Rattus norvegicus: one gene and its partners. The protein of the gene in region 1 purifies or fractionates together with the protein of each later gene. This does not show direct contact. Links are inferred from orthologs where the notes say so. Each region holds a gene or a part of one and is shown on either strand. Other genes may lie near its edges. The genes, in order: Copg1, Copb1, Cope, Arcn1, Copb2 and Nudcd1.

Evidence for each region.
Region 2: the proteins of Copg1 (region 1) and Copb1 fractionate together in Homo sapiens (co-fractionation; 11 studies listed by BioGRID and IntAct, counting the BioPlex papers as one, with this or other methods). This does not show direct contact. The link is inferred for Rattus norvegicus from reciprocal best matches to the Homo sapiens genes COPG1 and COPB1.
Region 3: the proteins of Copg1 (region 1) and Cope fractionate together in Homo sapiens (co-fractionation; 6 studies listed by BioGRID and IntAct, counting the BioPlex papers as one, with this or other methods). This does not show direct contact. The link is inferred for Rattus norvegicus from reciprocal best matches to the Homo sapiens genes COPG1 and COPE.
Region 4: the proteins of Copg1 (region 1) and Arcn1 purify together in Homo sapiens (affinity purification with mass spectrometry; 6 studies listed by BioGRID and IntAct, counting the BioPlex papers as one, with this or other methods). This does not show direct contact. The link is inferred for Rattus norvegicus from reciprocal best matches to the Homo sapiens genes COPG1 and ARCN1.
Region 5: the proteins of Copg1 (region 1) and Copb2 purify together in Homo sapiens (co-immunoprecipitation; 8 studies listed by BioGRID and IntAct, counting the BioPlex papers as one, with this or other methods). This does not show direct contact. The link is inferred for Rattus norvegicus from reciprocal best matches to the Homo sapiens genes COPG1 and COPB2.
Region 6: the proteins of Copg1 (region 1) and Nudcd1 purify together in Homo sapiens (affinity purification with mass spectrometry; 3 studies listed by BioGRID and IntAct, counting the BioPlex papers as one, with this or other methods). This does not show direct contact. The link is inferred for Rattus norvegicus from reciprocal best matches to the Homo sapiens genes COPG1 and NUDCD1.

The regions. Positions count from the first base shown.
Region 1 is NC_086022.1:121,922,540-121,926,761, reverse strand, and holds the start of Copg1 (coatomer subunit gamma-1), read right to left. Parts: upstream 2,801-4,222; 5' UTR 2,695-2,800; coding exon 2,658-2,694; intron 1,644-2,657; coding exon 1,591-1,643; intron 1,254-1,590; coding exon 1,173-1,253; intron 966-1,172; coding exon 894-965; intron 742-893; coding exon 662-741; intron 1-661. UniProt on the Homo sapiens protein: The coatomer is a cytosolic protein complex that binds to dilysine motifs and reversibly associates with Golgi non-clathrin-coated vesicles, which further mediate biosynthetic protein transport from the ER, via the Golgi up to the trans Golgi network.
Region 2 is NC_086019.1:177,838,251-177,841,840, reverse strand, and holds the end of Copb1 (coatomer subunit beta), read left to right. Parts: intron 1-382; coding exon 383-528; intron 529-1,159; coding exon 1,160-1,249; intron 1,250-1,811; coding exon 1,812-1,967; intron 1,968-2,716; coding exon 2,717-2,776; 3' UTR 2,777-3,090; downstream 3,091-3,590. UniProt on the Homo sapiens protein: The coatomer is a cytosolic protein complex that binds to dilysine motifs and reversibly associates with Golgi non-clathrin-coated vesicles, which further mediate biosynthetic protein transport from the ER, via the Golgi up to the trans Golgi network.
Region 3 is NC_086034.1:19,156,238-19,160,395, forward strand, and holds the start of Cope (coatomer subunit epsilon), read right to left. Parts: upstream 2,801-4,158; 5' UTR 2,758-2,800; coding exon 2,632-2,757; intron 123-2,631; coding exon 60-122; intron 1-59. Other genes in the region: probable ATP-dependent RNA helicase DDX49, read left to right, coding at 3,142-3,256. UniProt on the Homo sapiens protein: The coatomer is a cytosolic protein complex that binds to dilysine motifs and reversibly associates with Golgi non-clathrin-coated vesicles, which further mediate biosynthetic protein transport from the ER, via the Golgi up to the trans Golgi network.
Region 4 is NC_086026.1:53,955,006-53,958,505, forward strand, and holds part of Arcn1 (coatomer subunit delta), read right to left. Parts: coding exon 3,385-3,500; intron 1,289-3,384; coding exon 1,199-1,288; 3' UTR 1-1,198. UniProt on the Homo sapiens protein: Component of the coatomer, a cytosolic protein complex that binds to dilysine motifs and reversibly associates with Golgi non-clathrin-coated vesicles, which further mediate biosynthetic protein transport from the ER, via the Golgi up to the trans Golgi network.
Region 5 is NC_086026.1:108,047,187-108,050,686, reverse strand, and holds part of Copb2 (coatomer subunit beta'), read right to left. Parts: intron 3,447-3,500; coding exon 3,360-3,446; intron 3,158-3,359; coding exon 3,031-3,157; intron 2,233-3,030; coding exon 2,084-2,232; intron 198-2,083; coding exon 51-197; intron 1-50. UniProt on the Homo sapiens protein: The coatomer is a cytosolic protein complex that binds to dilysine motifs and reversibly associates with Golgi non-clathrin-coated vesicles, which further mediate biosynthetic protein transport from the ER, via the Golgi up to the trans Golgi network.
Region 6 is NC_086025.1:77,477,776-77,481,767, reverse strand, and holds the start of Nudcd1 (nudC domain-containing protein 1), read left to right. Parts: upstream 1-1,192; 5' UTR 1,193-1,258; coding exon 1,259-1,373; intron 1,374-2,653; exon of another isoform or gene 2,654-2,855; intron 2,856-3,992.

The DNA of each region.
Region 1 (4,222 bases):
AATGTAAGTATCTGTCTGCATGTGAGTATGTATACCTGAGTATGGTGCCCTCTGACACATCAGAGTCCTTTGTAGCTGGAGTAACAGATGCTCTTAAGCCTCCTGATGTGGGTTCTAGGAAAGCAACTGGTGCTCTAACCACTGAGCCATCTCTCCAGCCCCAGTAAGTATCAATGTACCTGAAACTGGCTGTATGGACCCTCTCCTTGGCTAGCAATGTCAATAAGAAATAAAAGAACTAGGTGTGTGTGTGTGGGGGGGGGGGTGTTGTTTTATTTTATTTCTTGGTGACATCTTCTTATGTAGCCCAAGCAGGTTCAAACTGGCAGCTATCCTCCTGTTTTTACCAAACGCTGTAAGTACAAGTGTATAGCACCATGTCCAGTTTTGACTCCCAGTTCTGAAGGATTTCTTGCATCTGTTTTTCTTTTCCTTAGCACTGACTAAAGACTCTCTGAAAGCTCCACACTGGTTGTGCCGTCTAAGGAGGAGGAAGAGAAGCAAGGCCAGAGAAGTGAGAAAGAAGCAGACCACTCTAGAGGCTGGCAGGGGGTGGGCCTAGGAGGACAGGGCACAGGCCAGATGTCAGGAGTCCCTTGGCTGTACGAGTTGTCTCTGTCAATGGGTCCCACCAGAGGAGCCACCCCTGCCCAAGACATGCCTGCTCGTCACAATGATGACATCCTCAGCGATGCAGGACATCTCCTTGATGGTCAAGTAGCACATTCGGCGGAGTGTGGGCTGGAAAAGACATGGAGAAGACCCTATCAGTCCTGCTCAGTGGGAGAGGACCTGACTCAAGAGGAGCCTGACTGTGTGGAAGGCAGTTGTCCTCCTGCCAGCTACCCTGTCACAGGCGTCACATCTGCAGACATGCAGATTGACGTACTTACATCATTGGACTGAAAGAGCTTGGTCATGGCAAAGAAAGCCTCAGTTGCTTCTGTGGTCCCCAGGTGCTCCCCCTGTGGTAATCAGAAAAGACGCAGGTTTGGACAGGAGGTCAGCAGGCTAGACCTTTGGAGCACAAGCAACAAATGAGAGCTGGAAACTTAAGAGGACCCAGGGCTAGACTGTTGGTTCCAATCACAGAGCTGTCAATCGAAAGCTTAAGGGTACATCCCCACTTACACAGTCCCCCTTGTACTCCCTGCCAAGCCCCATCTTGTTACCTGGTTTATGAGGTAAAGGATCTTGGTGAGGATGTGGGCACATTTCCGGGGGTTGATAGGAGTTTCGTTAAAGACCCGAGCCTGTGAAGAAGCAACCATTACCTCTAGCCTAGTACACTTCCATTCCACAGCTGCCCCTCAGTTCATGAAGGGCCTAGAGAACCACGGGGTGTGTCAGTCCACACAAATGTATTCTCAAGTGGGGAGAGCCTATTTCTCTTAACTGATCTACGTTATGACTAGGTAATACCCCAAGTCTCTGCTTGTGCTGCCCTCGTACTAGTCACACTTAGCAATATAATTAGTAGGTCCCACCTTCCTGGGCCCAGGCTCTGTAAACCAGCACTCTATGTATGTTAGTGTCTGACAGCAGGGCTGGCAGGCATCCCTGACCAGACACAGGTATGATGGAACTTGCCTCTTGGAGTACTGCACTCTTCTCCAGGTGCTGGAGGGGGTTGGAACCTCCACCTACAGTGAACAGAGAAGACTGATTACAGGTTGTGATCTTGGATAGATTTCTTTCCTTCTTTTTCTTTTCTTTTTTTTTTTTTTTTTTTTTTTTTTTGAGACAGCGTCTCACGTATTCCATGCTAGCCTTGAACTCAAATTTTAGCAGAGGACGATCTTCCTACCTCTACTTCCTGGTTTACGCAGTGCTGTGGATCAAACACAAGGCTTCATGCATGCTAGGCAAGCACTCTACCAACTGTTACAGCCCCAAACTGGGACCCTAAATTTCAAGATTCTGCCAAACACGGGGACGGGAAGGAAGTCTATATCATCTTCCAGAGGCAGTCAAGGTCCTCTCACAGTCACCTAGCATTCTTTCTGTGACTCTCAAGGTATAACATTTAGCATTGACTCGTACAACCAGAACTTAAGTGAGTCTATGTGCCAGGGACAACCAACACTAACTGACCTGTGACTGAGATGACAGCAGATATTACATTAAGTAATTATGCATGTGATTATCTGGTTACTGTCTGGCTCCTCCATTATGTGACCATCCTAACATTCCTATTGCAGGCATCTAGTGTCGCACTTGCCTTAGGTACTGCAATATCAGGATCAGTGAGGTTCCTGATGTAGTTTATTGAATGAGTGAAAGAAACAGTCAGGGTTATTAACTGCTGGACTGGTTGCACCCAGATAGGCAAAGAACCAACGCAGCTTTGGCAAATACCAAGAGGTCGGGTGGAATACAAGGGAGCACCCATCCTTGGAACCTCCTCTGACAAGATGGGGAAACTGAGGTCCAGAGAGGTGCGTGACCCGCACAAGGTCACGCATCAATTCTGACCAGAACTGGAGAGTGCAAACAGCACGTCTTCTCCAAGAATTGCTATGGACCTGCGCACAAGCCCCTGCCCCTCTCTGGCCTCGAATCTTGTTCTGACAGAGGCCCGGAAGAAGGAAGCCTAGAAAGGTCGCGTGAATCCCCGCGTGGATCTGGCCTTCCCAACACTTTCAAGGGTCCCTCACCAGACTCCTCGTCCTTCTTGTCGAATTTCTTCAACATGGTGCCAGCGGTAGCTCCACGCAATAGAAAGATGCTCAGGGTAGCGGTGAGATCAATTTCTCCCAGCGGCTTCCGTACTCCCGCCCGCCACGTCGCCCTGAGCACTGCTCTTTGGACTGCGCCTGCGCACTCTATCGTCTGCGCCTGCGCACAACTGCTTCCACGTTACACCTTCATTGCCTGCCCGGAGACAGTCAAAATCTAGCTGAGTGGAGGAGAGCGGAAGGCTAGGAATGAGACTCAGGAAAATGGGCGTGGCTGAGCAATGGGGCGGGGCCTTAGACCTGCTGTTGCGGGTGCTCCGCCTCTGCGCCCCCGTGTGTTCCGGTGGCTGATGTCTTTGCAGTTGCTGCCGGCTGAATTTAAAGGGCGTTCTGATTGGGAGAGTTGCAGCACGCTGACCCCATAAACGTTCTCTGTTACTCTTTATTGTCATTTTCCGGAAGTCTCACTGATAGGTTATTTTTACGCCGCCGGTGAAATGAGCCAACAAGCCAGGTTAGAATATTTTAAAGGCAAATTTATTGGGAAGCTGCTCTCGGACAAGTTCACTGTCCCCAAGGATTGTGCCAGGGGGGTCGTCGTAGGCGGGAGACGGGGCGCGAAGGGGGAAAAGGGCACCCGTTGCTAGCCAAGGAACCGATTCCATCAAAGTCTAGTTTTGTAAGCCAATGAATATTAGAGTTATGTACACTTGTGCTTTAAAAATTGAGATATACGGGGTTGGGGATTTAGCTCAGTGGTAGAGCGCTTGCCTAGCAAGCGCAAGGCCCTGGGTTCGGTCCCCAGCTCCGGAAAAAAAAAAATTGAGATATAACTGGACATTGTAATTTCCGCACTCATGAGGCAGAGAAAGGATGAGTTCAAGGCCATCTTCCGGCACCAACCAAAGCTACATGACTTCCACCTCAAAAAATAGAGCCAATGAGGTGGCTCAGCTGGTAAATAAAGGTGCTTGCTGCCAAACCTGAGGACCTGGTTCAATTGTGAAAATTATGAAATGAGTCTTTTCTACTAAATACTGTAAAACTTGTGTTTTGACAAGGAATCCAAATATTGTTTATCTTCCTCCGCCTTGTAAGACTTTTAATACAAAATTTTAAATACCCACACCCAGTAAAAATTTTGTTAACTTTGTAAAAAGGCCATGCTACTCTCAGATTAATGTGACTGACCTTTTCCCCTTTAAATTCCTTTGCTGGGTTTTTTTTTTTTTTCCCTTTTTTCTTTTTTCTTTTTTTCGGAGCTGGGGACCGAACCCAGGGCCTTGCGCCTTGCGCCTTGCGCTTGCTAGGCAAGTGCTCTACCACTGAGCTAAATCCCCAACCCCACTGGGATTCTTTTAAAACTAAAAGACAATGTCACCACCTGAGTTAGAATAAAAATGTGGTTCCCATGTCTGCGTGCTTCTTCTTGGAAGCACACCCTATTAATCAAAAGTCATGTTTGCCTGGGAGGATACTACAATAGGAGGGGTGGTCTCCACCTTCCCCCTTCTTTCTCCCCCACCCCTCTTTCCTCTCTCTGC
Region 2 (3,590 bases), on another chromosome or scaffold:
AACTATGAGAATACTGAACTATTTGTATGTCTAGTGTAGTACCTGGCCCATTATAGCTGAGATATATATATATATATATATATATATATATATATATATATATATATAAACAACAAGAGACAAAGTGTACCTGAGCCTAAGGTCTAACTCCTAAGTCCTATCGCTTACCAGTTCTGTAACCTGAGGAAACTTATTTGACTTACCTGCTTTCCTAATTTGTGAGATGGAAAATAGTAAGGTAGGATTGATGGCGCTATTCAGTTGGTAATATTTATAAAGCACTTAGAATCTAGTATATATAAATATTTGCTAATGTCATAAATATTTGTTATTTTGAACTAGCATCTACCCTTTTGATCGGGACTCTTTATGTTTATTACAGTTTATGATGTCTCTGGAGCAGCAAGTGACAGAAACTGTGTGGTCCTCAGTGACATCCACATTGACATCATGGACTATATCCAGCCTGCAACTTGCACTGATGCTGAGTTCCGTCAGATGTGGGCCGAATTTGAATGGGAAAATAAAGTTAGTCGTTGAGAGGTTTCCTATGCAGTTCTTCCTTATGACTAGTGATGAGGGTTTTTTTAAAGTCATTCCCCCCAAAAAGCATAAGAAGTGAGAAGCAAACAGTTCTTCATTATGTGTTCCTGTGTATTATCTTAACGAGAAACCATGCAAGTACTTTGGTAATTCCGTGTGGTGAATGGCAGTTCTTTTTGGAATCTTGTGATGGTATCTTGCTCTCTAGCCTAGTCAAGTCTCCAGTGCCCAACCTTCTTGCCCATGTCATCTTGGCACAGACACTAGAGTGTGCATCACCACACCTAGCAAGTCATAACTCTGTAACTACTTTGGTTGAGACCGTGTAGACAAGATCCCTCCTGTGCTGTGTCGGGATGATAATCTACCATTGGCTCTCGTATCCTCAAGGCTGTGCGAAGTCTGTGGCCCAGTGGGAAACTTTGCCCCCTAAGTTTTCTGTGAACTCTGTGTCTCTTTGACGGTCTAGGGAGGTATCTGTCTGGAAGCCCTGCCATGCCAGCTGCTTTCGTAGCAGTCATTACTTTTTTATTGCCCTTCTTCCCTCCATAGTTGGCAGAAAGCTGTAGGATGAAATGGCTGTGACGCACAGTTTACTGAGTCCTCTCCTCTGCAGGTGACAGTTAACACCAACGTGACTGACCTGAATGATTATTTACAGCACATCCTCAAGTCCACCAACATGAAGTGCCTGACTCCAGAGAAGGTAGGAGGAGGCTAGAAGAGGTGAAATTCTATAAAAAGTCTATAAAAAAAAGTTTCTGTTAATGCCATAATGTGCATCTTCCTAATAAGAAAATGTCAGCTGTCATCTGGGGTGTGTAGCTCAGTGACAGAATGTTTGTTTAGCAGCACGCACGCACGCACGCACGTACACATACATGGGGGTGGGGCCGGGGGCGGGGGTGGGGTGTGGGTTTACTGCCAAATTAGTAGATTTTGTAGATTAGTTTCTTCAACAGTTTTTAAGTCCAACAAAAGAAGCCTTTCTTTATGGAAGTTAAAAGCCTGATACAGGAGACAAATAAGTAAATCAGAACAGAATATGTAAATATAAATTTGAATAAGTACTCTTAAAACTATAGAATGCACAGGGAATTCTTAAATTTTTATACATATATTTATTTTGAGTTTTGGCAAACTTATTAGCTCCTATACCAAGCACCACGTAAGTAAAGTTTTAAGTAATAGTTTGCATGTATATTGAGTTTGCCAAGGTATTATAGTTCTCTAGCCAAGTACTGGATCTATCACACATTTCTTCCCAGGCCCTTTCTGGCTACTGTGGCTTCATGGCAGCCAACCTATATGCTCGCTCTATATTTGGAGAGGATGCACTTGCAAATGTCAGCATTGAGAAGCCAGTTCACCAGGGACCAGATGCTGCTGTTACTGGCCATATAAGAATTCGTGCAAAAAGTCAGGTAATAACATCCTTTTTTGAGAACATCTCTGCACCAAATAGAGGAAGAATTCATATATGTCTTATTTCTGTGATAAATTTCTTCTGTCATAATTATGTTTTGTGCCTGAGATAAATATATACATACATACATATGCATGGTATTTTCTGAGGTTTAATTCATTTAAAATGGCTTATCTACCATATTGCCTAAAACATCGATTCCTGAGTGATGTTTGTTTTTCTTTTTTCTTTTTTTTTTTTTTTTTAAGATTTATTTAACGTACAGCATTCTGCCTGCATATGTGACTGCAGGTCAGAAGAGGGCACCAGATCTCATTACAGACGGTTGTGAGCCACCATGTGGTTGCTGGGATTTGAACTCAGGACCTCTGGAAGAGCAGTCAGTGCTCTTAACCACTGAGCCATCTCTCCAGCCCTCTGAGTGATGTTTGTGAAACAGATTCTATAGAGTTGTTTAACAGATAAGGCATCAGTCTAACACAAACCAACATCACTAAAATCAACCAGTAAACGTTTTTGGAGTCTGTCTTTATATCCTTTGTTTTGTTGTTGAATGTGACGTCGTCATCCAATGGAGGCGTAGTTAGGCTGTGCAGCCTGTTTGGGCATTGTTTCAGTAATCACTGTTGTTGACTCTGGGAATGTAACTCAGTCTTGGGAATACTCTCCTAGCATGTGTAGACCATGAGTTAATCCCAACATCACAAAACCAGATAAAAATATAAACATCTTCATTCTTCTTTGCAGGGAATGGCCTTGAGCCTTGGAGATAAAATCAACCTGTCTCAAAAGAAGACTAGTCTCTAAGAATGAACAAACGGTCCTCGAAAGTGTAAGGTTAAAATTTAGGTGTGGGCTGATTGGACTCCGACGTTTTTGTACTCTTTCATGCTTTATGCTTGTAGAATTTGAGTTCATGCTGAATTCATTCCAGCCCGTAATTTATAGCCTTTCCCCTAAATCAAGAATGAGTTTAAAATTATAGTTTGTCTTTTATCTTAACAGTTCTGAATGCTGTCCTCAAAGTATATAAAGTTCCTCATATGTACCAAGACCATTTTCACAATAAACAGATCTGTTCATAAATTTTTGTTATTTTATAAATAAATTACTTAATTTTAGATTTGTATCAGTGGAATTTCTTCTTTTTTTTACCTGGCCTATATTTATGAAGAGAGTTACAAAGTGAGTGACCTAAAATGGAGCGGGTACTGGTTTAGTGCATTATTGTTCCCTCATTTTCTGTAATGACATTAGTGTCTCTAAAACTCTAGGGTCTCAAACTTTGCTTCAAGGAAAAAGTATCCAAATTACCTGAGAAAAGTGTCTTTGGCTTAAAGGAGCTGTAAGACTCTGACTGCCATACTATTCTTGATGATCCTGAATTATTATGGAAATTAGATCATCTAAAATCAGTGTGAAAATTCATGCACATTCAGCATTGGGTGTTTGTGCTTGTTAGTAATTACAGTGGCTCTAGCCAGTGACAGACTGCACTGGGAGGATTAGCTTTGGGGGATTCAGCAGCTGTTCCGTTTCCAAATGGCCTCTGTTTTTCACTCCTTCCCTACTGTTCATAACTTCACTGGGCTAAGCAACACACACCCCTCATTATGACTCC
Region 3 (4,158 bases), on another chromosome or scaffold:
TGACTGTCCACAGCTTTCCTGCAGAGTACCTGTGCCCTTCCCAGGCGGCCCACACTCACCTGTGCGAGGTATGCTCTATACAGGAAGACATCCCTCTCGACTTCTCTCTCAGGACTGGACAGCTGTGAGGAGATTTGTTGAGTGAGGCTGAGGAGCCTGCTGGGAGCTTCCCTGGTGCACTCAGGCTAATAGCTCAGGGCCTTAGCTGGAATCCAGGAGGCCCAGAAGCCCCAAAGGAGCCTCCACAGAGGGCACAGTGTAAAAAGCCTGATCTTATCTCAATGAGGCTGTCATCACCCCAGGTATCAGGGCACAGTGCCATATGGCTGCAGCAGCAGCAGGGCTGCATGCCCCAGCCCAGAAAAGTCCTACTGAGTTTAGAGTCCAGGCTGATCATGAACTACCTGAAATCTTCCAGCCTCGGCCTCCTGGGTGTGATACCTGGGGTGAGGACAGGGTGATGATATACTGTGTTTTGGGCACACAGGCTAGGCCATTCTGTGGTCGGTGGATACACACATTTATTTTAGTTAGCACCCAGGACAGAGTCTAATGATCCTCCTGCCTCAGCCTTTGGAGGAGCTTGGACCACACACCGAGGGGCCCCTGATCACTGCAGTCTAGCAACCAGCAGCTCTCATGTGGCCAGAAATTGCAGCAGGGAGAGGCCCTGCCTCAAGCCACCTACAGTTCTAGAGCTCTCCCTGCCTGGAAGAACAGATGGTGACCAGGCCACCTGCATGCTATCTGAAGAGATCCTGGGAACTCAGCAGAAGGACCAGCCTGGACTATGAGACATGCTGAGGGCCCCAGGGAGACTGGGCTGGCTGATGTCGGAGGTGGGGCTGCTGTGTACTTGTGGTAGGTACTAAAAGGGAAGATGAGAGAGAGGGAGCACAAGCTTCAACCAACACTGGGCGAGGACATAGGGTGGGGCATCTGACCAGTACACAAGAGTCTTGATGTCTCCCTAAACCTGAAAGGCATAAGGAGAGGAAGGAAAGATGCCGGTATCACAGAGAGTCACTGAAGTAGCTTGCTGGGTCAATGACTGGTGACTAAACATTTATTGTCCCGCATCCCTAAAGTTCAGAGTCCAGAATCAGGAACTTACACCTAACCACATAAGTCCTTAAAAGCAGAGACATAGAGGAAAGGGACCTATGGGAAGGGAGATAGAAGAGGTCCTAAGGATGACAGGACGCCACATCTGGCTGTTCTGAGATGGGAGAAGAGCCTGGGACTAGAGAGAACCTTCTAGGAGCTAGATGTCTTCAGTGAATACAGAGCCGCTGGGAAAGCTAGGAAGTGCTGCTTGTCCAGAACCTTAAGAAAAGAGAGCTTTGAGACCAGTAAGAACAAACCTCCACACACTACTCTACACACTTTACCCTAGCCACACTCCAGCCCATCATGCCCTGACCCTGGAATGCTACGCTGTTTTCACAGTCAAAATAGCCAGGCCTGAGACTACCACTTTCCTGGTTGCCTGCCTGGCCTCTGTTGCCGAGGCTACTGCACCTAGAAAGCCTGGAGTTCCATCAACTCTGTCTCTCACTGAGCCCAGCAGGAATGCTGTTTTCCACACACATGCAGAGAGGGATCAGTGATAGGTGATCCTGTCAACAACACAGGCTGTTGCAGACAATTCCCATTTTTAATGAACTAAAGACAAGCACAGGCTTGTCATCCTGCATCTGGGAGGGCTGAGGCAAGACTGCTGAATCTAGGGACAGCCTGGGCTACGTGCGACTGTTTAAAACATAAAACAAAGCCAGGGCTGGGATTTAGTCCGTAGAACACTTGCATCAACGCTGTGCTTCCCACCTCCAGTACTGCATAAACTGGGGCTGGCAGTGCACACTGCAATCCCAGTACTCAAGAGTGGAAGCACAAAAATCAAGAATTCAGTGTTCTTCAGCAAGATGAGGAATTCGAGGCCAGCCTGGGCTAAAGGAGACTGTCTTCATTTATAATCGGACTTCTCTTTTTTTGGGGGGGTGGGGTGGGAGGGCGAGGAGGGTACAGTCCAAGCCAGGATTTTTCTGTGGCACCCTGGCTGCCCTGGAAGTCGCTATGTAGGTCAGGCTGGCCTAAAACGCAGAGAACTGACTGCCTCTGCCTCTGGGTGCTGGGATTTAAGAGACGCGACACTACCTCTGGCTTGAGACTGTTATTAAGACAGATTACAGTATTATCCGACTGACCTAGAACCCCTCATGAAGATCAGGCTGACTCTGAACTAAGAGATCAGCCCGCCTCTGCCTCCCAAGTGCTGGGATAGAAGGCGTGCACCACGATGCCTGCCTAAACACTTAATGAAAGGGGAGTGAGGAGAAACGAAATAGTAAGAGGTTACAAGATAGAGCCAGTGGCGCACACCTGTCACCTCATCATTACCCTGACTTCAAGTCAGCCTGGGCTACGAATTGAGCTATCAATCAACTAATAAAATTTTGGAAGCTGGGCACAGGGGTGCACGCCTGTCAGCCTAGCACTCAAGGGGTGGAGACTGAAGGCGTAGGACTTCAGGTCAGCCTCGGTTACACAGTAAGTTCAAAACTATCCTTGACTATAAGAAAAACCGAGTCCGCCGACCAAAACCTCAGAACTGCTCCGCACGCTGCCTACCTTCACGCGCTGCGCCTCGTTAATGCACTGCTGGTAGCTGCCGATGTAGAAAGCGTTCTTCACGTCGAACAGCTCGTCTACCTCTCCAGAGCTGCCAGAGACCGCGCCGGGAGCCGGAGGAGCCATGTCACCACCCCTCTAACCGGTCTTCTTCCTGGGAGACACGTAGGCCGGAAGCAGGGACCTGCCGCCGGGAACTATGGGAAACGTAGTTCTATGGGACCAATAGGAGGCGTTGAAACAGAAACCATGCAAAGCCTCCCGAGAACTATAGATCGGATTCGATGAACAAACACAAGGTTTTCAGGACCAAAACACTGAAAAGCGGTCGAAGCTGGGATTGGTTGAGGGATCTGGAGCGGGTGGCTGCGCAGTGGCTCTCCGTGACGTCACATTCATCTGCCAGGGTTCGTTCACAACTTTCCCAGGCGGGACTGCTCCGGGTGGACGTGATGTACCATTCACGCGCCGGAAGTGCTCACCACTAGGTTCTCTACACTAGTCTGAAGCATGGCGGGGTTCGCTGAGCTCCGGCTATCGTCGTGGCTGGTGGAACAGTGTCGACAGCTGGGGTTGAAGCAGCCCACGCCGGTGCAGCTCGGGTGCATCCCGGCCATCCTGGAAGGTGAGTCCTTGACTCTCTTTTAATGCCTTTCTTTGTCCCCTCTTCCTTACCCCGGGTCCCACGAATCAGGACAGCATTGGGTGTTTCAGAGATCCTGACCCGCAGCATTGGCATTTAGGCTTCGACTGACTCGTGTGCATTGTCATACAGGTGATGGATGGAACCTCTGAAATTTTCGTAGAACCCGAGCATTAGGGAGAGTTCGGTGAATGACTAAAACGTGGCACTGGGGCAAAAAAAAGGGGGTGGGGAGTAGAACTGGCCTTGACGTAGCAAACAGAAACAGAGGCTGTCAAACTCCAGGCTCCGTGTTTGTGTCAGTGCTCTTCAGTTCAGCTCACTTTTGCCATTAAAGAGGCATCCTTGGAGCCGAACGTGGTCATCTCTCATCTCAGTCATCTCAATACCGAGCAGGAGGATCAGGAGTTCAAGATAATCCTCAGCTGTGTAGCAAGTTGCAAACCAGCCTGGGATACTTGAAAAATTGTTTCAAACAAGCAGTCATAATAACTGTTGGAAATTAGATGATGTTCAAGGGATTAGTGAACATAAAACAGCTTTTAATATTCTATTCTGCAGAAAAGGGTGCTGGCATTGAAAAAAGGATAAAGTAACTGGTATACTGATTTCAAGCAAGTTTTCGAAGCTTTCCCCCCAATCCTGCAGGGCTTGCCCCCTTCCCAAATTCCCCACCCCATTGGTCCATTGGGGCCCCAACTCTTATCTAATGAATAATTTGGGGCTTGAAACTGCCCCCCTTTTATAATCATAGGCTCAGTCACATAGCAGACCACCTGTAAGTCTCCAAGTCTTAGAATTGTAAGACATGCGGGTGCCAGCCACCAACTAAGGGAGAGAAGGGCCCAGCACCTCCTACTCACCTGTAACTCTAATAAACTGTA
Region 4 (3,500 bases), on another chromosome or scaffold:
AAAGGTAAAGGATCAAAATGAGCCGAGAAACTCCTACAATTATTACATGATGACACCAAAAAGGCTGAGAAGAAAAAGGTTTTCAGAAACAAGGGCGGAGAGGCGGGTGGGAAATGTCAGGTTAGATGGGGTATATTTGAGTAGCCCCTTACTGCACACCAATATAATCCCCTGCCTCTCAAAATGCTACCAAATGGTGGTGAGGATGGGGCCTCTTCATTAGGGCTAATGAGAAATGGCACAGACTCACTAGACTCAGTTCTGCTGGAAAGACTGATGAAGGGAAGAGCATCTGGGAAGGGGAAGGAGGTGGACACAAGGACTCTAAGTGGACTACAACACCCTGAGTGACAATGCTTCAACTCAATTGTCCCACAGCATGTAGAGAACTTTAAGTTTGGGTAGCATTAGCAGCAGACATGATTACATGTGGAAATGGATGGAGCCATCTTACTACGCATCTTGAAAAGGTGTGTCCATATAAAAGCTGCTTCTCAGCGAGCTACCTTTAATATCGATAGGAATGGGATTCACAGTACTGCCTGCAACTGGAAGGGGACGGCTTACAAGGGAACAACTTCATAAAGAAATGGAGCAATGGATGGATATGGGAGAGAAAATAAGATAACCTTGTGTTTCAACTTTTAGACTCCACATCCCTCAAGCAGTTCACTGGCATTGTCTAATGTCAAGAATGGGTTAGATAACCTTCTTCTCAGAGTGCTGAAGACAATACCCACAGACAGGTGACCCCAGTGCGTGATAAGTGTACTGAAAGAAAACAGAAAGCAAAGGAGTGTAAAAGACTCAAATCTATAGAGAAAACTTTGTAAAACAAAGTATGAAATATACCTGTATTTAGGGCTTAAAATAAAGGGAGACTTAGGTGAAGGCAGAAGAGCTATTTACTGGGGCATTCCCTGGAGAGATGGCTTCCTGCTGGCCAGTAAGATCTGCCAAAGAAATCAGCAGCCTTTCCCTTTATGTCAGCGTCATGTCTTTGTCAAAAATGTCTCTGTGACACCACAACACTGGGTGTGAGTTGAGGGTCCTTGCGCGCAGAGAACGTGCACTGTATCAGAAAAAAGGGGGGGAGGGGATCTCCAATGGCTTGTAAATTTGGAAAAACTCTTCAGCCACTTTTGGCTTCTTCTTTATTAATCTGAAATCCTTGCTTTTCAGCTTTCTCTTCTTGGTACTACAGGATTTCATATTTGTCCACTAAGAAAGTGGTCTCTGTGGAAAACCTAACAGGGCTGTTTCCATCTACCTGGGTCACTTTGGTAACCTAGGAAAACAAAGAGAGGGGAGGGGGGAGAGGAAAAACAACAGTGAGTCTCTGATATGTTAACTACATTTTCATTACAGATTTTATCACATTCTCTAAAATCAGGATCAAAAGTACCTTGGAAACACCAAAATGTACTCAGAGCTCATACTTGTTCCTTGTGGCATCATCTAATCTGTACTCTAGAGAAAACTGATTGGTACAGTAAGACGGACAGCAGCTGCCACAGGTAAAAGCCAGGATGAGTGGCAAGGCTCAGCCTGCCCTATAAAATCCAGGAAAGCCAGACATTCTATAAGGATGATCAATTAACATTCTGGTCCTAAATAAGTCTGCTACCTCTCCTGCATTACTTATTAAATTCATCTCAGTCTCCTGTCCAAAACCATACTATGTTGAAAGACCTTCTTCTTTTTCTACAGTTTATGTGTATGGGTGTATGGGTGTTTTGCATTCATGTTTGTGCATCATTTTGTGTCTGGTGACAGCAAAAGCCAAAAATAGGCATTGGATCAGCTAGGAGTGGAGTCACAGACACAGGAATCACAGGTGGGCTGTCATAGAAGTACTAGAAGTCAAACCTGGTCCTCTGGAAGAGCAGCCAGTGCTCTTAACCACTGAACCATCTCTCCAGTCCCAGGATAGTGTTTCCTTCTTTTTTGTTTGTTTGCTTTTGTTTTTTTGAGATAGGGTTTCTCCATGGCTGTCCTAGAACTTGCTCTGTAGAGCAGGCTGGCCTCACACTCATAGAAATTGGCCTGCCTTTGCCTCCCAAGTGCTGGGATTAAAGGTGTGAGCAACTATGCCAGGCTCAGATCACATTTTTTAACAGGGCTTGAGGTATGCTAACCACACACTATTCACTGAGCCATCTTTCCAATTCTATGCAGCAATTTTGTGTCTAAAAAAAACCCCGAAGGCCAAGAGTACAACCCAATGGTAAAGCATTTGCCTAGCCTGCTGGGGCTCTGGGTTGGATTTTCTGCACTATTAAATACATAAAGTATTTTGATTTCCTGGATAAATGGTAAAGCGACAGTAAGGCAAGGGATATGCAAATAGACTTTAAGATACATGAGGTTAGGGCTGGAGAGATGACTCAGTGGTTAAGAGCACTGACTGCTCTTCCAGAGGTCCTGAGTTCAAATTCCAGCAACACATGGTGGCTCACAACCATCTGTAATGGGATCTGACACCCTCTTCTGGTGTGTCTGAAGACAGCTACAGTGTACTTATATATAATAAATAAATCTTTAAGAAGATACATGAGGTTAGAAGGCACTTAGTGTACATGAATCATGTACAATCAGTAAGTACTCTTTTTTTTTTTTTTGGTTCTTTTTTTTGGAGCTGGGGACCGAACCCAGGGCCTTGCGCTTCCTAGGCAAGCACTCTACGACTGAGCTAAATCCCCAACCCCCAGTAAGTACTCTTATATGAAACATTTTATTTATCTAAACTTTATCCATAGAAGGAGTCAGAGCAGCAGATGACTCAGGAGGTGTGTGTGCTCACTCTGCTGCTGAGAAGGAAAGAGCTGACTCCACGAACCTGTCCTGACCTACACAAACGTGCTGGCACGCACATGGTCCCACATATACACACAAAATAATTTTTCCTTTTTAGATTTATTTTACTTTATGTGTGTGTATTTCTGTGCCTGGTGCCTGCAGAGGTCAGAAGAGAGCATTGGATCCACTGGACCTGGAGTTCTGGATGGCTGTAAACAACCATGTTGATGTTGGGACCCAAGCCGGGGCTCTCACAAAGAACAGTAAGTGCTCTTTATCTACTCAACTTTCTGGTCCTTACAAACAGAAGATTAAAAATACAAAACAAAACAAAACAACCCAGAACTCTATGACTATGTCCCAGGAGGGACACCTGGTCTATATAGCAAGTTCTAGGCCAGCCAGGGCTACATAAGCAAACCCTGTTATAAAAAGGAGAAAAAAAAAAAAAAAGAGAAGTATGATGAGTCAGACTGGAGTCTGCAGAAGACTCTGGCTTTGATTTCTGCTTTAACATGAAGCTGTGCTACCTATCAGGCACTTGTCCTGCCTTTCCCATATCTGCCTTCTGTTATAACAGAGTACCTGTATGTTGCAGTAATTCTTTTTGGAGATGAAAGAAACTTGAACAGGGAAGAAGTCATTGGGCTGCCCAGGAATGCTGAACTCCAGGCTGCCACTCTTATTTTTGGCATCAATCA
Region 5 (3,500 bases), on another chromosome or scaffold:
GCAGTGAAGACCTGCCTAGCATACAGCACGGAAGGTTATAGAAACTGTACCTGATAATCCCATATTTTAACGAGCCGGTCATCTGCACCTGAAATGAGGTATGGCTTATCACCACCACTGTAGTAATCAATGCAATTCACGCCTTTTTCATGTCCCTCCAGCGTGAAGTTTGGTGATGAAGAGCCCAGCTGCCACACCTTCAGAGAACAGAGGCATCTGCCAGTCAGCACTTTCAGAGGCAGTTCCCCCGCTTTCAACACAAGACATCAAACACCACAGCCCAAGACACAGTGTTCCAGGATATTTGCTCTGGTCTCATGATAATTTTTAGAAAGCAGAATCACTTCTCCATGGAGATTATAGATATAGTTCAGTTGTTGACCCTGTTATGTTTTTCTCAACTTGACATAAGTACTTATCTGGGAAGAGGGGATTCAACTGAGAAAATGCCTCCATCAGACTGGCCTGTAGTAAGCCTTTGGAGGCATGATGGTGCCACCCAAGAAAGCAGGCTGAGCAAATCATGAGGAGCGAGCCAATGAACGGTGTTCTTCCATAGCTCTGCTCATTTTACCTCCAGGTTCCTGCCTTGAGTTCCTCCCCAACTTCCTTGGATGATGGCTGGTCAGTGTTTTAGCACAGCAACAGAAAGAAAACTAAGAAAACTGTATACAGGTGAAGCGCAGGAATCAATGAACAAATTAACACTTTGAAAACCTCTACTTTAAATTAGGTCCTGATTGGATGGGAGCTTAGTGCTGAGTAGCATGTGTCAGAATGGAAGAGCTCGCCAGGGAGAGCGAGGCACACGCCTGTGTTCCCAGTGTCTGGGAAGCTGAGAGAATTAAGAATGTGAAGCCAGTGTAGGGTGGATACACAGTAAATTCTAGGCCACCTTAGCATACACTGTAGACCCTGACTCAAAAAATCAGATAAACTTAATTTAGTGAAGAAGTTAAAACTGATCTCAGTTTCCCATCTATGTCAAAAGCAGGGGCAATTCAACAAATGATAACAAAGTCAAGTTAAAAACCTGAAGCTCTTAAAACACAAAATAGCTTATATGAGTTAAATTACTAAAAATATTATATACATGTAAGCAAATGTGTAAGCAAAAGTAATGTGATTTGAAATTTATTTTAGGTCAATGTACTGAGAGGATGGAGAAAATCTGACTGTACTCACGGCAACAAATAGTCAGTATCCAGTAGAGCCAAAGTACTGTGCTACTCTCCCAGAACACCTTGGGGCTGTGCAAGGGGAGACACAGCTCCTATCCCAAATATCCAGGATATCACAGGGATAAATGATTTTAAATTACATGAATTATCACTCAATGTGAAGACTGTTAATAGAAACAAAATCTAAAGGGAATGACATACACTCTGTCTACAGCCATTAGTCGCTAGACTGGAGCGCTAGACTGGACTTTCTCAGAATGACTATCTGTGCTAACCCTTAGAGAGCTATGAAGATGCTCAGAGAAAAATAAATTCAAATCCGAGAATGCAAAGACCTGCAGTCAGAGGGAGAGCTGATGAAGCACTGCTCTGTGAACACTCAGAGCATTGCTAGAGGACAGCGAGTAGGTCAGTCATATTGGTGTCTGTATCAGCAGCCCAGGCTAGCCCTAACCATCCTGTATTTCACTCTTAGACATCTGTAGTTTATTCTCCAACAGGAAATAAACAAAACAGACCCTGAAGACAAGCAGTCCACAGCAAGAGGCAGAAAGAGGGGATGGCAACAGAAAGAACTTAAATATAAAACAGACCAGTGATGAGGAGACAAGAATGACTAAAGGACACACACACACACACACACACACACACACACTCTCTCTCTCTCTCTCTCTCACACACACACACACACACACACACTCTCTCTCTCTCTCACACACACACACACACACACACACACACACACACACACACACACACACGTGTCCTAGAAACGTGGCAGTGCTTCTAACTGTAGATCCTAGAGTGGAAACCAATGTTCTACTGCGTTGCTTCTGCCTGGCACAGGAGCACAGGGGCTTTCTGGCCAGCCAGAGTAACGCACCAACGTAGTGGACACCTACCTTGATGGTCCTGTCGAGAGAGGCACTGGCAAACTGATTGTTATCTTTGGGGTTTATCACAATCTGCATAACATAATGCGTGTGTCCTTCAAACACTTGTGAACAAGACCATTTTTTGTCCCAGTCCCAGAGCTTAATAAGCATGTCATCTATACCAAAAGAGAGCCAAGTCAGTTGTGGATTGTTTTCATCTCTGTAATAAGACAGTTTCAGTGAGTTTTAAGGTAACACATGTAGCATAGTTCACAGTCCCAGTACCTATGCCATAGAACTAATACTGGGAAAGTCCTTCAAGTCCTTACCTGACCTCAGAGCATACTGACTACAGAACAGTGCGGACAAAGTGCATATAGACAGCTACTAAAGACATACAAAAAACACGACAACTTCTTAAATTTAATTAAACAAACAAACAAAAAAACCCCAGTGGTTACCGGCTAAGTCTGGCTAAAAAAGCTGACTGTGGAAAGAGGCAGAATTTGCCTGATGAGATAAACTGCTTTTACAGAAGTTCTCACTTGTTAAATTTATAAATATTTCAAAGACTACTACCAACTCAGGGATACCCAGGTAACAGCCCTCCTGCGGGTCGCTTTACACTAATACCAGGGAGCGAGCTAGCTAGTCTGCATATGCAGATAAACCAACAGAGCCTGTGGCAATCTGCCAACAGCCTGCTCATCAGCATTCTAATGCGCTTTCTGCTCCCCAGATACAGATGCTTCTAGACCTTCGAATTTTCCATCAGGAATTAGAGCAATTGCAATATAATCCTATTAAAATACTAAAATACACAGGTGGGCAGCACCAACAGCACAGTAATGGATTCAAATTGTTTAACAGAAGCTTGGAGTGAGAGCTCCATTTGCCACTGCAGTTAAAGCACAACATGTCTCGGGAAGCAAATCATTACTCAGTGCACAGGACTGAGGCAGGTTGTCTCTTACCACTGCTTGTGAGAATGAACGGCTGGGTGGGATGAACAGCAATGCAACGGATGTAATCCGAGTGTGCTTCAAACATGTGCACCCTCTCCAGGGTGTTATAATTGAACACTCTAATCTGCATATCATCCTAGGAATGGAGATTTTAAAGCATCACTATATGAGATAAACTGTATACACAACTAAACTGTATTACAAGCTCAAGGTATAGCCTCCTACCATCAGAATACTACGTTTAATTAACTTAATGAACCAGGCATTACAACTCTGTAACTAGTATCTATGACCACTGGCCAATGAGAGGGTAGGATCTGATACTCAGAGCTACTTACTGCTCCTGTCACCACCCAGTTCTTCCTTGCGACAAACTTCGCAGCTCGAACAGGGAGATCACACACTTCAAAGGTCTTCACCAGCGTCTTGAAATGTTAATAAGAATAGACACATTAAGTTATGAAGAAGTAACTAAAGAG
Region 6 (3,992 bases), on another chromosome or scaffold:
ACGAAAAGTGAAATAAGATAATGTGATTTACTCATCAATTACAATTTATGGGGAATTACAACTGCTACCCTACCACGAATTTCAAATTAGTCTTTGAGAAATTCTCCATTTTAAATAAAAACGGCCAACCAATGCCAAAATCAGTGTAGGCAGGGAAAAAGCAAGGCTAACTTATGAGAGCATTTTTGCCACTTAAAAGTTTAAGATACAATCAGGTTAAAGTTAATGTTTTCCTACTTAATGTCACTAACTTGAGTACTTTTGTAATTTCCCGTCTTGTCTGTATGAAAACTCAGACTATAAAGAATTTTCAGAGTTGAACTACGCCAAGAGGCGGGTGAACGGAGGGTTAATAACTAGGCAACGCTTTACTTCTGTAGTTGGGGCTTAACATTTTGAAAATAACTGCAAAAGTTTAGACCGTACCATACCAAGAACAGCAAAACTTCGTCTCGTCTTGGCCCCTAAAACCACGGGTAGTGACCTTGGGCAAGTCACTTAATTCCTAAAGGCCTCAGTTTTCTCACTGGTAAAACAAGGGCGCTAGGGAATCCCTCCCAGTTCTGACATTCTTTGGGAAAATGAAACACGCCGGAGACAGCTGGAGAGGCGGGAGGGGAGGAGCCAGAAAACAAAGCGAAGACTGGCTCCAGGCCAACTCCAGCAGCACGCCCTGTCGGAGAGCCCTACAGGCCCGCGAGCGCGGGTCGGGGAAGCTAACGAAAGACAGCACATCGAAAGGAGCCTGGGCTGGGCCCGGGTCCCGGCCCTGAGGACCACGGGCATAGCTCACCACCATCACCGCGGGCGAGGGCCGTCCCTTCCCAGCGACGAAATGACCCTTGCGCTGACGACCGTTACCTACCACACTCTTCAGCTGCCCGGACTTAGACCCTCAGTAGCTCGGGCACCTAAGCACACAGAAAGCTAGACCACGCATTTCCGGGGCGGGATCTGGCCACCCTGCCTATAATGTGAGAATTCAACTAGCGCGGGCCGCCTTCTGGTCGCTCGGCCCTCTGGGTAGGGAAGTCCAGAGTCTGCTAAGTGGCGAGTGTTCGGTTGTCAGAACACTACATTCCCCAGCATGCAACGGAGTCAGCTTTCTCACGGACACTACATTTCCCAGAAAAGATGTGGCGCCGCAGAGTCCTCTGGGATGGGAACCACGCCGCTCTCCCAGCCTCAGTTCCAGGAGTGAAGCGCGAACCTTTCAACAAGAGCTTTATTGATTCTCTTGCTTGGATCCGGCAACGCGATGGAGGCGGCTAATTGCTCCCTGCGGGTGAAAAGACCCCTGCTGGATCCCCGCTTCGAGGGCTACAAGCTATCGCTCGAGCCTCTGCCCTGCTACCAGCTGGAGCTTGATGCAGGTGGGATCGGCGGCACCCTCTCGCACCGGGTTCCTTCTCGTTTAGGCTGCCATTGGCGCAACCCTCTGTCACTCCGGCTAGCCAGTCACGTCCTGTCGGTCTGCACCTAGAGCGGCCGTCCACGCGGGGACCCCAGGATGCCCCCATTTCTTTCCGCGCTTTAGCAGCGGGACTGTGGACTGGCCTAGGCATCTGTAGCTCAGGCTTAGATGTTTTCTGCCCATACATCTCTGGCCCTTGCTACGAAGGTTCAGGTTGTCCTTCCCTCCCAAACCACCTTTTGTAAACGTGTCCGCTGAGAAGCCACACCTCCTTGGAAAATCCCCAACTACCTTTTTTTTTCTTCTGACGCAGAAACATTTCTTGGAGAGAAAATTTTCCACATTCAGTTAGCAGTTTTAAGTATCCTGATACATAGAACAACGCCACAATTTATCGAGGGAAAGTGATTTAGTGCGCTTACTGCTCTTGCTTATTTATTTGTAACTTTCTAGAGGCTATTCGCCTTTTTACAACGTTAAGAATTGTAGTTTTGTTAACCAAAGTGTCCAGAGATTCGTGTTTTTAAATACAGCCCTCTGTAGATTCTGATTTTGATACACGTTTTCCATGGGTTGCACTTTGAGAAATAGTGATCTAGAGGTGTTAGTCAATAATGTATTAAGCATTCCCTATGTATCTATCTGTGTATCTTTTCTATAGATACAAAGGAGTCTGCATCCTTGACTGTCCTGGCACTTGCTGTGTAGTCCCGACTGGCCCAGAACTAACAGATGTCCTCTGTGCTGGGATTAAAGGCATATACCACCAAGCAGCCCAACAAATGCTTGTTTTTCTAAGTTTGTTTCTTAAGTATAGAAGTAATTATTGTGGGCCTGTTTTGTGTTTTCTTCACGATGATTAGGTGATTGGCACAATCATGAGTGCCTAACATATCATAATTCATTCAGGAATAAACATCTATTACAGTATGGGCAGGTAGGAACATGACCAAGTGTAAATGGTCTAACGGAGTATGCTTTCTCAAATTGTCTGGAGATCTGGTAAAGCTTCCAGGAGGAGTTGATGACTGAGTTGAGTTGTGAAGGATAGGCTGGTAACTGATGGCTGGTATAAGAGGAGAGGAGCTTCCAGGAGAGGAGCTTCCTTCTTTTTCCTCTTGGCATTTTTGTTGCTTTTGTTTCTGTCAATAAATGACCCCGCCATGTTCAGTTGGCCAAGTCATTGGAAATAAAACACAAAGGACCAAACCCTAATGGGCCAAACCAGAAGGTACTCACAAATGTGCAGGTCAGCAGGTCTTCCTCACTGCTTATTCATGTGTCTTTGCTCAGGTACGGGCCGGTCGAGGCAGGTCTAGTCATCCTGATTCCACCATCTACACCATTTGCTGGCTCTTTGCTTGCTCCAGCATTTGTCAGATGATCTTGACTTGAGTCTTCCACAGGCTGCTTGCAGGAAGTCAAGTCACAGTGCACATGCTGTTTCAGTGGCTTTAAAACAAATTTCCACATGTTCTACTGGGCAAAGCAAATTAAATAATCAAGTCAGGAACTGCTGTTGGCAGACCCTAGCTGAGGGTATAGATCCAGAGTGCTAAAAGTTGGGACAGTGAAAGTCTAGGAAGTTAGCAATTACTCCGTGTCAATGTGAAATCAAGGTACTAAACAGGTATCATTCCCAGGTTTCCTTGGGCCTTTGTGTAACCCCCTCCCTGCTCACACGTAGTCAGGCAGTGAGAATGCTTACTCTCATCCCGATGTCTCTTTATTTAGTGCCACCATAAAATGGTGCTGCCCCCATTAAGGTCTAGATAGTCTCTCATAGGTTTTCTCAGAGGCATATCCACTACATGATTTGGAATCCTATGAAGTTGACAGCCAAGATTAGAGCTGTCTACTTCTGCAAATTTCATTTTCTGTACAGCTGTAAATGCATTTCATATGTGTGTATGTGTGTAGTGTTCCTTTATTCCTTCATCTGTTGATGAACATCTAGATTGATTCTGTTTCCTAGCTTCTGTGAACACAGCAGCGGTGAAGGTGAGTGGACAGAGATCTCAGTGGTAGGATAGAGACCCCTTTAAATATATGCCCAAAAGTATAGCTGCTGGGTCATAGGCTTTGGAGAAACCTCCATATTGATCTCCGTAATGGCTATAAGTAGTTTAAATTTCCGCTAGCAGTAAAAAGGGATCATCGGTATATGTTGTCCTCTCATTTCTTATGCATGACACTGAATCTCAAAGTAGGTTTAATTAGCTTTTTTCCTGATTGGTAAGGATGTGAAGCACTTGGAAGCTATGCAGTGAGGTGTGTTTTAGTTTTTGTAGTTTTTTCTTGTTGTTATATATAGTTGGCTATTAGCCTTTTGCCTGAAGTAGAGCCGCTGAAGAGCTTTCATTCTGTAGTCTGTCCTTTCATTCTGTTAATAGTTTCTTTGGTGTTCTGAAACATTTTAATTTTACATCATCCCATTTCTTAGTTCCTATGGGTACTTCCTGTGCTGATAAAGTTTTGTTCAAAGTTTTTTTCTGCCTATATCTTGCAGTGTAAGCCCTTTAATTTCTTATAGCCATTTCAGTATTTCAGGTTTTAAATTAAGATCTTTAATGGAGTT